2 linked regions of the Anolis sagrei genome follow. The protein of the gene in region 1 interacts with the protein of each later gene in a pairwise test. Links are inferred from orthologs where the notes say so. Each region holds a gene or a part of one and is shown on either strand. Other genes may lie near its edges.

What was found.
Region 2: the proteins of phospholipid scramblase 2-like (region 1) and MVP interact in a two-hybrid assay, tested with the Homo sapiens proteins (2 studies listed by BioGRID and IntAct). The link is inferred for Anolis sagrei from reciprocal best matches to the Homo sapiens genes PLSCR1 and MVP.

The regions. Positions count from the first base shown.
Region 1 is NC_090023.1:239,101,549-239,108,822, forward strand, and holds the start of phospholipid scramblase 2-like, read right to left. Parts: upstream 3,007-7,274; 5' UTR 2,820-3,006; intron 1-2,819. UniProt on the Homo sapiens protein: Catalyzes calcium-induced ATP-independent rapid bidirectional and non-specific movement of phospholipids (lipid scrambling or lipid flip-flop) between the inner and outer leaflet of the plasma membrane resulting in collapse of the phospholipid asymmetry which leads to phosphatidylserine externalization on the cell surface.
Region 2 is NC_090026.1:17,350,269-17,357,800, reverse strand, and holds the start of MVP (major vault protein), read right to left. Parts: upstream 3,011-7,532; 5' UTR 2,904-3,010; intron 2,549-2,903; exon of another isoform or gene 2,481-2,548; intron 1-2,480. UniProt on the Homo sapiens protein: Required for normal vault structure. Vaults are multi-subunit structures that may act as scaffolds for proteins involved in signal transduction. Vaults may also play a role in nucleo-cytoplasmic transport.

The DNA.
Region 1 (7,274 bases):
CTTGTTGACAGGGGGTTGGACAGGATGGCTCATGAGGTCTCTTCCAACTCTATGATTCTACACTGCTGTATTAAAGCAATGACATCATTTTAGCTGCCAAGGCTCAATGCTATGACAGTCTGTAAGCTGTATTTGGGTGAGGCACCAACAAACACTCTCTGGCCAAAAAGTATTAAGACCTTGGGAGCTTCTACACTAGTATTTCACAAACTTTGGTCTTCTAGGTATTTTTGGACTTCAGCTTCCAGAATCCCTGATCACTGGCTCACAAGCGTCTTGGAGTTCTAAGTCCAAAAACACCTGGAGGTGTTTGGGAATTATTAATCTACATGAGTGGAGTCCAATCTTTGATCTTCCGGGTGTTTTGGACCTCTGCTCGCAGAATTTTTTACCATTAGGTGAGCCAGCCTGGGCCCATATAATGGTAAAAAAAATCATAGTTGGAAGAGACCTCATGGGCCATTCAGTCCAACCCCATTCTGCCAAGAAGCAGGAAAATCGCATTCAAAGCACCCCTGACAGCCATCCAGCCTCTGTTTAAAAGCCTCCAGAAAAGGAGCCTCCACCACACTTCAGGGCTGAGAGTTCCACTGCTGAACAGCTCTCACAGTCAGGAAGTTCTTAATGTTCAGGTGGAATCTCCTTTCTTGTACTTTGGAGCCATTGTTCGGTGCCTTAGTCTCCAGAGCAGCAGAAAACAAGCTTGTTTCCTTCTCCCTATGACTTCCTTCACATATTTATACATGGCCATAATGTCTCCTCTCTGCCTTATGTTCTGACGGCTAAACATGCCCAGCTCTTTAAGCCGTTCCTCATAGGGCTTGTTCTCCAGACCCTTGATTATTTTAGTTGCCCTCATCTGGACACCTTTCAGCTTGTCAACAACACCTGGAGGGCCAAAAGTTGGATGGCACTGATTGATATTGTAGTTTGACACTTTAGCTGCTCTGGTTCAACGATATGACACCCAGGGATTGGTAGTTTCACAAGCTCTGTAATTTTCTCGAGGGCTGGTGCCTCACCAAACTACAACTCTCAAGATTCCCTCACATCGTGACAGTTAAAGTGGTGCATTCATCCTACAGTGCATGCCTTGCAAAGTTACAATGCCCATACATAGCCTTGAGCTAGAGCAATTGAGCCATTCAACAAGATAGGTTCCTTCTAAGTAAATGGAGAAGTGAAAAGACTCTTGAATCATTTTAGTCACGCTCCTCTGGACACCTTTCAGCATGTCAACAACAGCTGGAGGGTCAAAGGTTGCATGGCACTGATCTATACTGTAGAATCAATGCAGTTTGACACCACTTTAGGTGACCTGGCTCGATGGTGATATCTGGGGAGTCTCAGTTTTACAAGTTCTGTAAGTTTCTCTGTTAAAGAGGGCTGGTGCTTCACCAAACTACAACTCCCAAGACTCCCTCACATTATGGCACTTAAAGTGGTGCATTCATCTTACAGTGCAGTGCATGCCTTGCAAAGCGACAACGCCCATAGATTGCCTTGAGCCAGAGCAATTGAGCCGCTTCCATTCAACAAGGTAGATGCATTCTAACTAAATGGAGAGGTGGAAAGCCCAGGTTAGGAAGTAGCCCACCGGATGGACAGAGGGAAAATGGGAAAGGGTCTCACCTGGTCGTGAATGAAGGCGGAAGCTCCTCTTGTTTTTAAAATCTAGACTAAAGCAGGGAGGGGGAAACAGGGGGGGGGGGGTTGAGAAATCGAAAGCACTCAGAGAGTTCGGTTTCTGTTTACTTTCCACACAAACACCTTTCTCCCTCTGAGAATATTGTGCTACGTAGGCATCTATGACCACAAGGTGCAACAATTACACTGTAGATTGAATACAGTTCGATACCCTGGCCCAATGCTATGGAATCCTGTGATTTGCAGTTTGGTGAGGCACTACAATTGAAGAGAGCTATTGACAAGCTGAAATGTGTCCAGAGGAGGGTGTCTAAAACGATCAAGGGTCTGGAGAACAAGCCCTATGAGGAGCGGCTTAAAGAGCTGGGCATGTTTAGCCTGCAGAAGAGAAGGCTTAGAGGAGGGTCAACAACATCTGGAGGGTCAAAGGTTGCATGGCACTGATGATGTGAGGAAGTCGTAGGGAGGATGGAGCAAGCATGTTTTCTGCTTCCCTGGAGACTAGGATGCGGAACAATGGCTTCAAACTACAGGAAAGGAGATTCCACTTAGACATTAGGAAGAACTTCCTGACTGTGAGAGCTGTTCAGCAGTGGAACTCTCTGCCCTGGAGTGTGGTGGAGGCTCCTGCTTTGGAAGCTTTTAAACAGAGGCTGGATGGGCCATGTGTCGGGAGTGCTTTGAATGAAATTTCCCTGCTTCTTGGCAGAATGGGGTTGGACTGGATGGCCCAGGAGGTCTCTTCCAACTCTATGATTCTACTAGAGGAGGCCAAAAGACTTTGCAAAACAAGTCCCAGGAGCACAGCATTCGATAAAGATCAGACATATCTGATGTATCTCCTGAATGACCACATCATGTAAACCCCAAGATTCTATAGCACTCAGCCATGGCAATTCAGGTGGTGTCAAACTGCATTAATTCAGAAGTGTAGATGCATCCATTAGCTGGCTGAACTCGTAAGGGAGGAGTGGGGGAAAAGCGTGTTTTTGGCTCTAGAGACACCTCGGCCATCAAACCCTCCGAGTGACCTTCGACAATTCTTTCAGCATTCCCCCTGTAGACAAACATTGCCAAGAAACCCCCGTTGTAGGGTCTCAGCCTTATTTTGGAAACAACAACTATGGAAAGCCTTCCCCAGAGTGGGCACCCCATCAGTTTGTAGTTATTACCTTGTTCGAATTGCTGCTCCGCTTCGTTGCTTTCCACTTCCCTCTGTTTGGCTCAAGAGGAAAGCAAAAGGAAGAGAGGGGTGGTTTACGGGAAGGGCGGATCTGGGGGTGGAGATTAGGTGAAAAAAGCCAGCCAGGAGGGACGGGGGAAGGAAGGCCAGCGAGGAAATAGGCGTCAACAGGCGACCCAAAGGAGAGAGAGAGAAGAGAGAGAGAGAGCGCCTGGGAGGCAGACAAAGCAGAGCCAGAAATGCGATTAGTCCGGCAGCGCGGAAGGAGGCATTCCGGCGTCAAGGAGATGATGTCAGGGATGGAGCCCGGCTGGAAGCACAACGCGGCCCCTAGACGTGCTGTTCCTGTTCGGATCCAAGGGCGGATGCCAACTCCAGGGTGGGAGTCTGAGGAGGCTACGCTTCCCCTACTCAGGGTTTGCAGACCTTGGGGATTATCACCCCCCCCCCTTTATTATTTTTTCACACAAACATAAAATAAACGTAGACACCAAAGTAAACAAACAAACAAACATAATAAACTAATCCAATACAAAAATGACTTTATAATATTCCCACCTTCATTCCTAGCAACTGGGACTTTGGCGCAGCTGGCTGGGCGTCAGCTTCATTAAAATCACTACTGACCAAAAGCCAGCCCAGGTCAGAGTGAGCTTCCGACCAATTTGTGTAGCTTGCTGTCGACCTTTGCAGCCCAAAAGACAGTTGTATCTGTCAAGTAGGATATTTAGGTACCGCTTATGCGGGGGAGGCTAATTTAGGACACCATAAAAATCTCTAGCAAGCATGCAAAGAATGAGGAAGTATTGGGTTGTTGTAGGTTTTTTCGGGCTATATGGCCATGGTCTAGAGCAGGGGTCCTCAAACTAAGGCCCGGGGGCCGGGTGCAGCCCTCCAAGGTCATTTACTCAGCCCTCGCACAGGGTCAACCTAAGTCTGAAATGACTTGAAAGCACACAACAACCCTAGCTCATCAGCAAAAGCAGGTCCACACTTCCCATTGAAGTACTAATAACTTCATATTTGTTAAAATTGTTATTCATGTTAATTATTGTATTGTTTAAAGTGTTTTTTACACAACCAATAAGATATGTGCAGTGTTTAAAAATAAATGAATTCATTCATGTGTGTGTGTGTGTGTGTTTGTTTGTTTTTTTTCAAATTATGATCCGGCCCTCCAACAGTTTGAAAGACTGTGACCTGGCCCTTTGTTTAAAAAGTTTGAGGACCCCTGGTCTAGAGGCATTCTCTCCTGTTGTTTCGCCTGCATCTTTGGCACGCATCCTCAGAGATAGTGAGGTCTGTTGGAACTAGGAAAAAGGGTTTCTATATTTGTGGAATGACCAGGGTGGGACAAAGGACTCTTTGAAACATTCACACCTAGCTCCAGCAGACAAGAGTCCTTTGCCCCACCCTGGTCATTCCACAAATATAGAAACCCTTTTTCCTAGTTCCAACAGACCTCACTACCACTGAGGATGCTTGCCATAGATTCAGGCGAAACGTCAGGAGAGAATGCCTCTAGACCATGGCCATATAGCCCGAAACACCTACAACAACCCAGTGATTCCAGCCATGAAAGCCTTGGACAATACAACAAGGAAGTACTTCATCAGTGTTACAAAAGGACAGTGAAGTGACAGCTTCCCTGGTGGCCAGAATACCCTCATAAAAGAGCTGGAATGTTAAATAGCCCCTGTGTGTCTGTCTATATATGTTGTGTTTCTATGACCTTGAATGTTTGCCATGTATATGTACATTGTAATCTGCTCTGTGTCCCCTGCAGGGTGAGAAGGGCGGGATATAAATACTGTAAATAAATAAATAAACTTAGGCCCCTTCCACACAGCTGCATAAAATCCACATTGAACTGGCAGTGTGGACTCAGGTAATCCAGTTCAAATCAGTGTGGATTATCTGCCTTGATATTCTGTGTTATAGGGCTGTGTGGAAGGGCACTAAAACAACTAAACTCCATCCCCCAGAGAGAGAAGGGGGGAGGGGGGAGTTTAGTTATTCTAGGGCCCATCCTCACCAGATAGATAAATAGATGGAGGTTGGTTGTTTTAGGGTCCTTCCATGCAGCCATATAAACCAGAATATCAAGGAAGATAATTCACAATATGTGCTTTGAACTGGATTATCTGAGTTCACACTGTCAAATATATATACATACACACACAGGGCTGTGTGTGTGTGTGTGTGTTAAGGGTTTTAACTACAACCCCCCCCCCCCCGCCAAACCTGGTTTACTCAAGAATTTTAACTGGTTAACCAAGTTATGAACAAACCAGGTTTCTTTTTTAACCTGACACATTTCAAGGCAGGGTTGAACTCCCTCCCTCCCCCCCCCCCCCCCTCCCCGAGCTATGGCCCTACCACTGACTTAGTAAGCATTGATTGTTGTGCGCTCCCAAGTAACAGAGATTATGGGATTTCATGGGAAAATTTGCCCAGATGAGGTTTCTGCCGAAGCTGGGGCCCCTTCCTCACAGCTGAAAAATATCCCACATTATCTGCTTTGAACTGGAATATATGGCAGTGTGGATTCAGATAACCCAGTTCAAAGCAGATATTTTGGGATTTTCAGCCTTGATATTCTGGGATATAGGGCTGTGTGGAAGGGCTCTGAGAGAGTTTGACTTGCCCAAGGTCACTGAGGGGCCCCCTAGGGCCCTTCCACACAGCCCTGTATCCCAGAGTATCATGGCAGAAAATCCCACCTTTTCTGAGTATGGACTCAGATAACCCAGTTCAAAGCAGAGAATGTGGGGGCCCTTCCACACAGATGAATAAAATCCCATATTTTCTGTTTTAAATTGGAATATGTGGCAGTGTGGACTCAGATAACACAGTTCAAAGCAGATATTGTGGGATTTTCTGCCTTGATATTCTGGGATATAGGGCTGTGTGGAAGGGACCTGAGGCTGAGAATGTGACCTGCCTAAGGTGACATGCTGGGTTTGCAAAGATGAGTGGACATTTGAACCCTGGTGTTCAGAATCCTGTAGTTCACTTTACTATGCCAGACCGGCTCCAAACATAGGTAATGTTAGGGCTAACCATTAAGCAAATGAAGCAAGGCATCAAGGTAAGGGGATACCATACAAACTTTGCATTGCCAGGTTTACCATGGGTCACCATACAGTGCAAAACTGCAAATGATGCAGCTGAACAAGATTCCACCAAAAGGGGCCTCGACAATAAAAAGACTGCAATTATAACAAGTAGGAGAAAAGCTTTTAAATATAAAGTGAAAGGATACAAAATGTATAATTATTTTACTGTAAGTTTTGTTTCATTTAATTTCATTTAAATTTAAAATTTTAGTTTACAGTTTATCATTGTTTACATTTTGAATTAGATTTATGTAGGGACATCAAAATCTTTTAAGTGCTTATGCTTCGGTCACTAAAGGTCAAATCAGTCTATTTAGTCCAGGATTCCAATCACATAGCACCCAATCAGCTGAAGTGCCCCAGAAACTCATATGCAGAGGCATGCTATCTGGTAGTGTTGGCTAAATAAGAATCCTCTTATTAGATTTTCCTTTTCCCAAAGAGTGGTATTCTCCTGACACCAGAGTGCTTTGTCTTAATGGAAACTGGCTGGACAGGAAGGCTGTGTTGCCTTGGGAAATTATAGAAATAATTTCATATATGTATGTGAAAAATATTGTGATTGATATTATGAAAGAGATGCAAATAAAAGAAGAGAGAAGCAGCACATTTTTCATATACAAATGCATATGCATGATTTATCATTAGCATGTCTTGTAGAAAGAAGTGTGTTTTGCATGTTGCTTGCTATCCAAAAACTATGTGTAAAAATGTAAAAGAATAGTCAGATGACAAAGTAGATGAGAACATCTGATTTATGCAGAGCTCATTGTGTTTGATCATATATCACTAGACTGCTGTCCTTCACATATCCTTTATCCTCTCACACACAACTTCTTCAGATCTGGCTAGGCATTCAGATAACTGGACCAGGGAACATTATTGTATAACTTCAAGTGGTTTCCAAAGCAGCTTGAATTGGTTGGATGGAGGTAATGTTTAACTACAGGTTAGGATTAGGGCATATATACTGATTTCCTCACCATGGCACTATTTGTCTTTGGTTGTGGGAGGATTGCATGCTCCTGTAAAGCAAGAAGCTATGCCGATGACAGCAGTGCTGCTAGTAGGGTCTCCTGTGTCAGATAGGCTTTTGCTAAGCAGTCAGGCTAAATGTGCGAGAGAGTTAATTGTTATCAGAAGGAGTGGGGTATGGCATTGGTGGAGGATGTCTCAGAGACAATGGAAGTGGTATCATTGCTCATACGAGGTAGTAATGCACAGAAGGAGGCACAGTAAACCCATTTTGAATGTCGTTTACCATGACAATCTTGTAATGGGACAATCCAAAATGAAACAAAAAGCCATTGACTTTACCTTGGAGG
Region 2 (7,532 bases), on another chromosome or scaffold:
TTGGAAGCCAGTAGAGCTGTTTTAATAGGGACAGAGTATCTCCCTATAACTAGCCCTAGTTAGTAATCTGGTTGCCCATCTTTGCACTGACTGCAGCTCTTCTGAACCGTCTTCAAAGACAGCCCCACATAGAGTGCATTGCAGTAGCCCATTCTGGATGTAACTAAGGCGTGGACCACCGTAGCCAAGTCTGGCTTTTCAAAGTAAAGACGACTACAGAAGGAATGAAGCATTAGATTAGAATCCTCTGGGACAGGGATATCAAACTCATTTTCACTGAGGGCAACATCAGCCTTATATTTGGGGCATTGACTCCATGGAGGGAAAATCCATGGATACAGAAGGCCAACTATAATTTATTTTACATAGTGGTTGGTGCTCTTGACTTTTTACCCAATTTGGGCCCCCAGGTGTTATTGATCCACAACTCCCATAACTTTTTATTATCTGCCATGCATACTGGGGATAATGGGAATTGCAACCCATTCGCATTTGAGATTCTGAGGTTGGGAAAACATTAAAGGTTTTAAAGTCAGGCCTCATATCCACAAGTCTTATATCTAAATTCGAACCATGCTGTCCTGGTTAAACAGAACAAACTGCAGCCTTCCAGGTGTTGCTATATCACAACTCCCATCAGTTCTAGTCATGATATCTAACGAGGAGAAATACATCTTGGGAATTAAGATCATCTGTGGAGGCCATGCTTTTAGTCCCACCTGCTTTGCAAACATGGCTGGTGGGGACGAGAGACAGAGCCTTCTCAGTGGTGGCCCCTTGTCTATGGAACTCCCTCCTGAGGGATATTAGATCAGCCCCCTCCCTCCTAGCCTTCAGAAGGAGAGTCAAGACCTGGATCTCGGAGCAGGCTTTTGAAAACTAATGCAGTACAATAACCTTAATGTGGAATAATGTGCAATTTGACTACGAAATGGCCTTAGACTCTGGATTATGGATGGTGTATTTTTAACACTGGCTGGAATGTATTTTATTATGTTCAATATGTTAGTTTTTATTCCAATTTATTTTAAGTCACTATTGTATGTTGTGAGGCATTATGTAAGTGCCAACTGTAAGCTGCCTGGAGTCCTCCTCGAGGTAGAGAAAGGCGGGATATACTGTATATACTCGAGTATAAATCTAGTTTTTCAGCCCCTTTTTTAGGCTGAAAAAGCTCCCCTCGGCTTATACTCGAGTCAAGGTTATTTATTCTTTTACTCTGTTATTAGTATTATTTTATTACATTTATTATTTCACTCTATTATTATTATATTTACATTATTTTGTTCTATTATTGTATTTATTATTTTGCTCTATTATTATTATTATTATTATTATTATTACATTTATTATTTTAATCTATTTATTATTATTATTATTATTACATTCACAGTATTTTACCCTATTATTATTATTACATTTATTATTTTAATCTTTTTATTATTATTATTTTTATTATTTTTATTATTACATTCACAGTATTTTACCCTATTATTATTACATTTATAGTATGTTGTGCTATTATTACTACATTTATTATTTTACTCTATTATTGTTTTATTGCATTTTCATTATTTTACTCTATTATTTTTATTATATTTATTATTTTAATAATAAGCACATTTACATTGAAGGAGGCTAGAATAATGGTTTAATAAGAGTTGGGCAGTCATATCTTAAATTACAGTTTTATGTAAATATTCAGAAACGTTTAGCCTATTGATGCCTCAATTAATGTAATTTTATTGGTATCTATTTTTATTTTGAAATTGACCCATAGTGGATGCATTTCCCACCCTCGGCTTATACTCGAGTCAATACGTTTTCCATGTTTTTTGTGATAAAATTAGGTGCCTCGGTTTATATTCGGGTCGGCTTATACTCGAGTATATACGGTAAATAAGGTAAATAAATAAATAGATAAATACAGGAGTTGTAGTCCAGCATTTGGAGAGCTGCACAGAATTACATAGTGGGCTGGATTCAGCCAGTGGGCCTTGAGTTTGATGCACGCAGTTTGAGAGAAGACGCCATTATGGCAATGGCCTTTAACCCATTGCCTTCCAGGTGTTTTGGACTCTAAATCCCATTTCCCTTAGACAATGTGGTGTCTACTGGCTCGGGATGATGGGAACTGAAATCCAGCAAATCTGTAATGTGCCTAGCGGGGTAAGAAGCTGTAGGGCAGACACACCCTGTCCTCTTGCTCATCTCTCCTCCAACCACTAACTGGCAGGGCTTTGAGGAATCCAGAAACACCCAATGCCCACTGTAACGCAACACATTTATTGTGTTTAATCCTTCAACAAACTGAGGAAACCAGCCTGGCCTGTATCGGGAAGTTATGATACAGAAAACCCTTGAGGTCCTATTACAGGGACACACCTACTTCCAGTAACTAGAATAACCCTCCCCATGGCTATGCGTTACTAGCAGCTCATGACTCTTCTGATCACGGAAATGATAGGAAATGAGCTTACCAGACCTAAATCCTGCTGAAAATGTAAACTTCAGGCTTAACTCCTGGACAAGCCTAGAGCAACTTGAGCTGGAACAGGGAGAAAGGTGGCAAATTCAGATTTCTATGCAATGAAACCAACAGGAAGAATCAGAGTCCACATTACTCAAGGAGTCAGATGGACTGCTTTATGGCAAAGAGAAGTTCTCCACCCATTTTCTGAGCAATCATTATAGCCCTGAGATCTCATACAGTCTTTAATCAAGCAACTTTCTAACTCTAGAGAGAAATAAATTACAAGGGAAGGAAGTGAGACCTGGAAAACAGTGGGAGACTCCCATTTCTCACTTGGAAGGTGCAAGAGAAGGAAGGAAGGAAGGAAGGAAGGAAGGAAGGAAGGAAGGAAGGAAGGAAGGAAGGAAGGAGGGAAGGAAGGAAACCTTACCGTGCAAGAGAGCTTGTTTTCTCTTTCTGCTATATCCTCTTGTGGGTTAGGCAAAAATCCCCCCTCCCTAAAGATTTATTTCCTGGTAGAGGAGGAGCAAACTCTTGTGGGGAAGAGAGCCTGTTAAAGGGCAAGCAGATTATGAAATATTCTCCTTTACACATGAGTCATTGGAAAACATAGGCAAATCATAATGGCAAAGCAGGCATAAGGGAATGTACCCAACAACTGAATGGCGAGGAGGGATACTTGCAATACATTTTGAAGTGCAGCCAACCCCTTTTCATTCAGGTCTGCATGAAGATGACTTGGCCGCAAAAGATGGCATGTGTATGTGTGTATGGGGCAATGGGGTCTCTATGCTGCATGATGAAGATGTTTGTGGTTTCGACATTGGACAACTTGGGAGAACACGCTGCTTGGCCCTTAAAACTCACTGAGTGATGGGGTGTGAAACTTATGGCGATCGTTCATGTGAAAGGGATCTAGGAGGGATCACAACCTCTGAGGATGCCTGTCATAGATGCAGGTGAAACGTCAGGAGAGAATGCTTCTGGAACATGGCCATCCATCCCGGGAAACTTCCAACAACCCTGTGATTCCGACCATGGAAGCCTTCACATGGAAGATACACGGATCTAGGAGTCTGAGTAGACCACGAGCTGAACCTGAGTCAACAGTGTGATACTGCAGCTAAAAAGGACTCTAAGATCCTTTTCACTCGTCCTGCTATCGAGCCAAGTATGGTCCCCCATTCTGTATCTTTGCATTTCATTTTTTCTGCCTAAGTGGCGTATCTTGCATTTGTGCCTGTTGAACTTCATTTTGTTAGTTTTGGCCCATCTCTCTAATCTGTTAAGATCAGACACCCCTATCATGTTGCGATTTCATATGGTCTCCAGTCTTGCCACATTGTTGCTGTTGTATGTCTTTGACACATTGTATGCCTGGTTATAGGGTCACCGTAAGTTGGAAACTTACAGAATCCAATGGGATTTTTGCCTGCATAAATAGGAGTCTGGTGTCTTGATCCAGGGAAGTCCTGCTACCCCTCTATTCTGCCTTGGTCAGACCACACCTGGAATCACACTGTGTCCAATTCTGGGCACCACAATTGAAGGAAGATGTTGACAAGCTGGAATGTGTCAAGAGGAGGGCGACTAAAATGATCAAGGGTCTGGAGAACAAGCCCTATGAGGCTTAAATAGCTGGGCATGTTTAGCCTGCAGAAAAAAAGGCTGAGATGAGACATAATGAGGGCCGTGTATAAATATGTGAGGGAAAGTCATAGTGAGGAGGGAGGAGGCTTTTTTTCTGCTGCCTTGGAGACTAAGACACAGAACAATGGCTTCAAACTACAGGAAAGGCGTTTCCACCGGAACATTAGGAAGAACTGTGAGAGCTATTCAGCAGTGGAACTCTCTGTCCCGGAGTGTGGTGGAAGCTCCTCCTTTGGAAGCTTTTAAATAGGCTGGATGGCCATCTGTCAGGGATGTTTTGAATGTGATTTTCCTGCTTCTTGGCGGGGGGCTGGACCGGATGGCCCATGAGGTGTCTTCCAACGCTTATAATTCTGATTCTTGGAGGGGGAGACACAAAGGGGGCAGTTCTATAGCTACCCCCCCCCCCAATCCCAAACAGGATCAACGACGTAATCTGCTGGAGTGCCAGGACAATCAATTGGCCTTCCCCACACTAGCAAATATATGAGACAATAACAAGACTTAAAAGTTTTACTATCACTTGTTTCAAATTAGAGTCGAGGATATCCGAGATCATTTTTGCGTCGAACTAGCAATTTGAATGGCAATATTTCTTTACCGTGATCCATGTAGAAAGTACTGCGAAGGGTGAGGCAATCCCTGATCAAACACTATAAAAACTAGTGTAAGTTCTGTTTACTTTCCTGTTTTCAAAGGCACTCAAGCTCATCTAGAGACAAGGATTTGGGCAGTATAACAACAAACGCTATGGGGCAGGGCTCCTGTGCCTTTAACAGCTTGATGAAAAGAGGGAATGTGGCAGGTGTACCTTTGTGTCATTTTGCTCCCATACAGAGAATTCGGGGTAGTTCTTAAAGACACAAACAAACATAAGCTCTATCCCAAATATAATCCACTTTCTTGCATGTTAATGTACTGTAAAGAATATGTAATATATGTGGCTTGGAGTGATTCTGGCCATGAAAGTCTTCTACCACACATATTTTATCATACATGGGCAAGGACACAAAGAACTAGAGTGGAAAGACAGCTTGCAGTATTGATATGTATTTAGGGGCAGTTGATACAGTGGGCGTATTTTTATTCCATAAAGCACAGATTTCCAAATATTCATATAGAAATGCTCCCTTGGTTTATGAAAGCTACCGCCTCACCATGCTTTCCCAAAGTGCTATGCTTATAATATAATGTAATGTAATATAATATAGTGTATATACATATATTTATAATATATTTGTAATATTATTAATATTACATGATATATAAATATGTAATTATACTATCATATTATTAGTATTATATTGCATTAAAATACGAATATTATTTATTTATTTATTTATTTATTTATTTACAGCTTTTATATTCCGCCCTTCTCACCCCGCAGGGGACTCAGGGCGGATTACAGTGTACACATATATGGCAAACATTCAATGCCAATTTTGACATACAACATATACAGACATAGACAGAGGCTATTTAACTTTTTCTGGCCGCCAGGGGAGCTGTCGCCTTTATCGTCCATCTGCGACGCTGATGAAGTACTTCCGCATTCCCCACATGCTTTTTGTTGGAGTGCTTGCTGAAGTCTTTTTTAATGGTCTCATAAATTAGTTAATTTAGCCTCCCCACACTTTAAGGTGGTACCTTATTTTCCTACTTGACAAATGCAACTGTCTTTCGGGTTGCAAAGGTCGACAACAGGCTACACAATGGTTGGAAACCCACTCCAACCTGGGCTAGCTTCGAACTCATGACCTTTGGTCAGAGTGATCTTAATGCAGCTGACACTCAGCCAGCTGCGCCACAATCCCAGTGCATTATATATATATATTTCTTGTAATATTAATAATATTACAATATAATGGTATAGTACTATAAAGTAATAATAATAATAATAATAATAATAATAATAATAAACTTTATTTGTACCCCGCCAACATCTCCCCAAAAGGGACTCGGAGCGGCTTACATGGGGCCAAGCCCGAACAAAAATTACAATATAACAATACAAATTACAATCAAATAAAAAACATAATAGTAAAATATAAAACATCATAATATTTAACATAATATTTAATACTGATATTGTACTATGCTAATAACATATTGTATGTATGTATATATATGTATATATCTTGCAAGCCGCTCTAAGTACCCTTCGAGGTGAGAAGGGCGGCATACAAATGTCCTAAATACATAAAGTCGGGTCAGCACTCAAATGAAAGCAAATCATTTCACGCGCCATTGAATTGCATGAAAACGTGAGGTCATACATCAACCAGCAAGTTGCCAACCTCTACCAGTACGCATGCGCTGACTTTCTCCCGCAGTCTCCCTGCTTGGAGCACACGCATGCGTAGAACAGTCCTTTTCCTGGATTCGGGCATCTTGCCGCGGATGCGCGCTGGGGACCCATGGGTCTTGGAACGGCCGACCATTTTGGCCGCGCATGCGCTCTTAATGTTATTTACAAGAACCTGCCCGGGCGCGCGACCCGTCGGTCAAGCAGCCCTTCTGCGCACGAGCGCATTGTTTTCCGAGCACCCGCCTCCGTCTACCAGTCCTGGCTTCCTTACATGGCGCATGCGCACTTCAAAAAAACCTCCCCACCGACCATAGCACCGCGCTTTTCAACCCCGCATGCGCGTTGAAAAAATTGACTTTCAAAAATTGCGGGTTTGAATACTTTTTAATTTCACCCAGCTATTTAAAAAAAGAATCTAAAATGGGGCCTTAATTCACAGAAGGACCAACTGAAGGGTAGCGTTGGTCACGCGAGAAGGCGGCCTTTTTGTTGTCGTAGTAGTGTCTCCTCTGGCGCTAAGCCGCCCGCCATTTTCTTTGCCTTCTTGCTCAGATCGGTTACGTCATCGCTGTCGTGCGCAAACCTGAAGTGTGGTGCAGTCCTGGGTGTTTTTCCTCAGAAGACCAAAGGGCAATGTTCCCTCTAAGGCACCCTCATAGTGACAAGCAAAATGGAGTCCCTTTGGTTCACTGTTTCTCTCACTGTAGCTACAATTACCCATTGAGGAAATCTTGTTGAACCTAGTGGAACCTTTCTCCCTCTGAATAAACTGAATAAAAAACTAAATCTGAAACGAACACACTAATCCAGGCATGGGTTGGGCCCTCCAGGTGTTTTGGACTTCAACTCCCACCATTCCTGACCTCAGGCCTTAACTCCCACCATTCCATGGGCAAACTTGGACCCTCTAGGTGTTTTGGACTTCAACTCCCACCATTCCTGACCTCAGGCTTTTTCCTTTTCCCCCCTCAGCCGCTTAAGCAGCTGAGGGGGGAAAAGGAAAAGGCCTGAGGTCAGGAATGGTGGGAGTTGAAGTCCAAAACACCTGGAGGGCCCAAGTTTGCCCATGCCTACACTAACCTAAATGTTTGCCCATGCAGA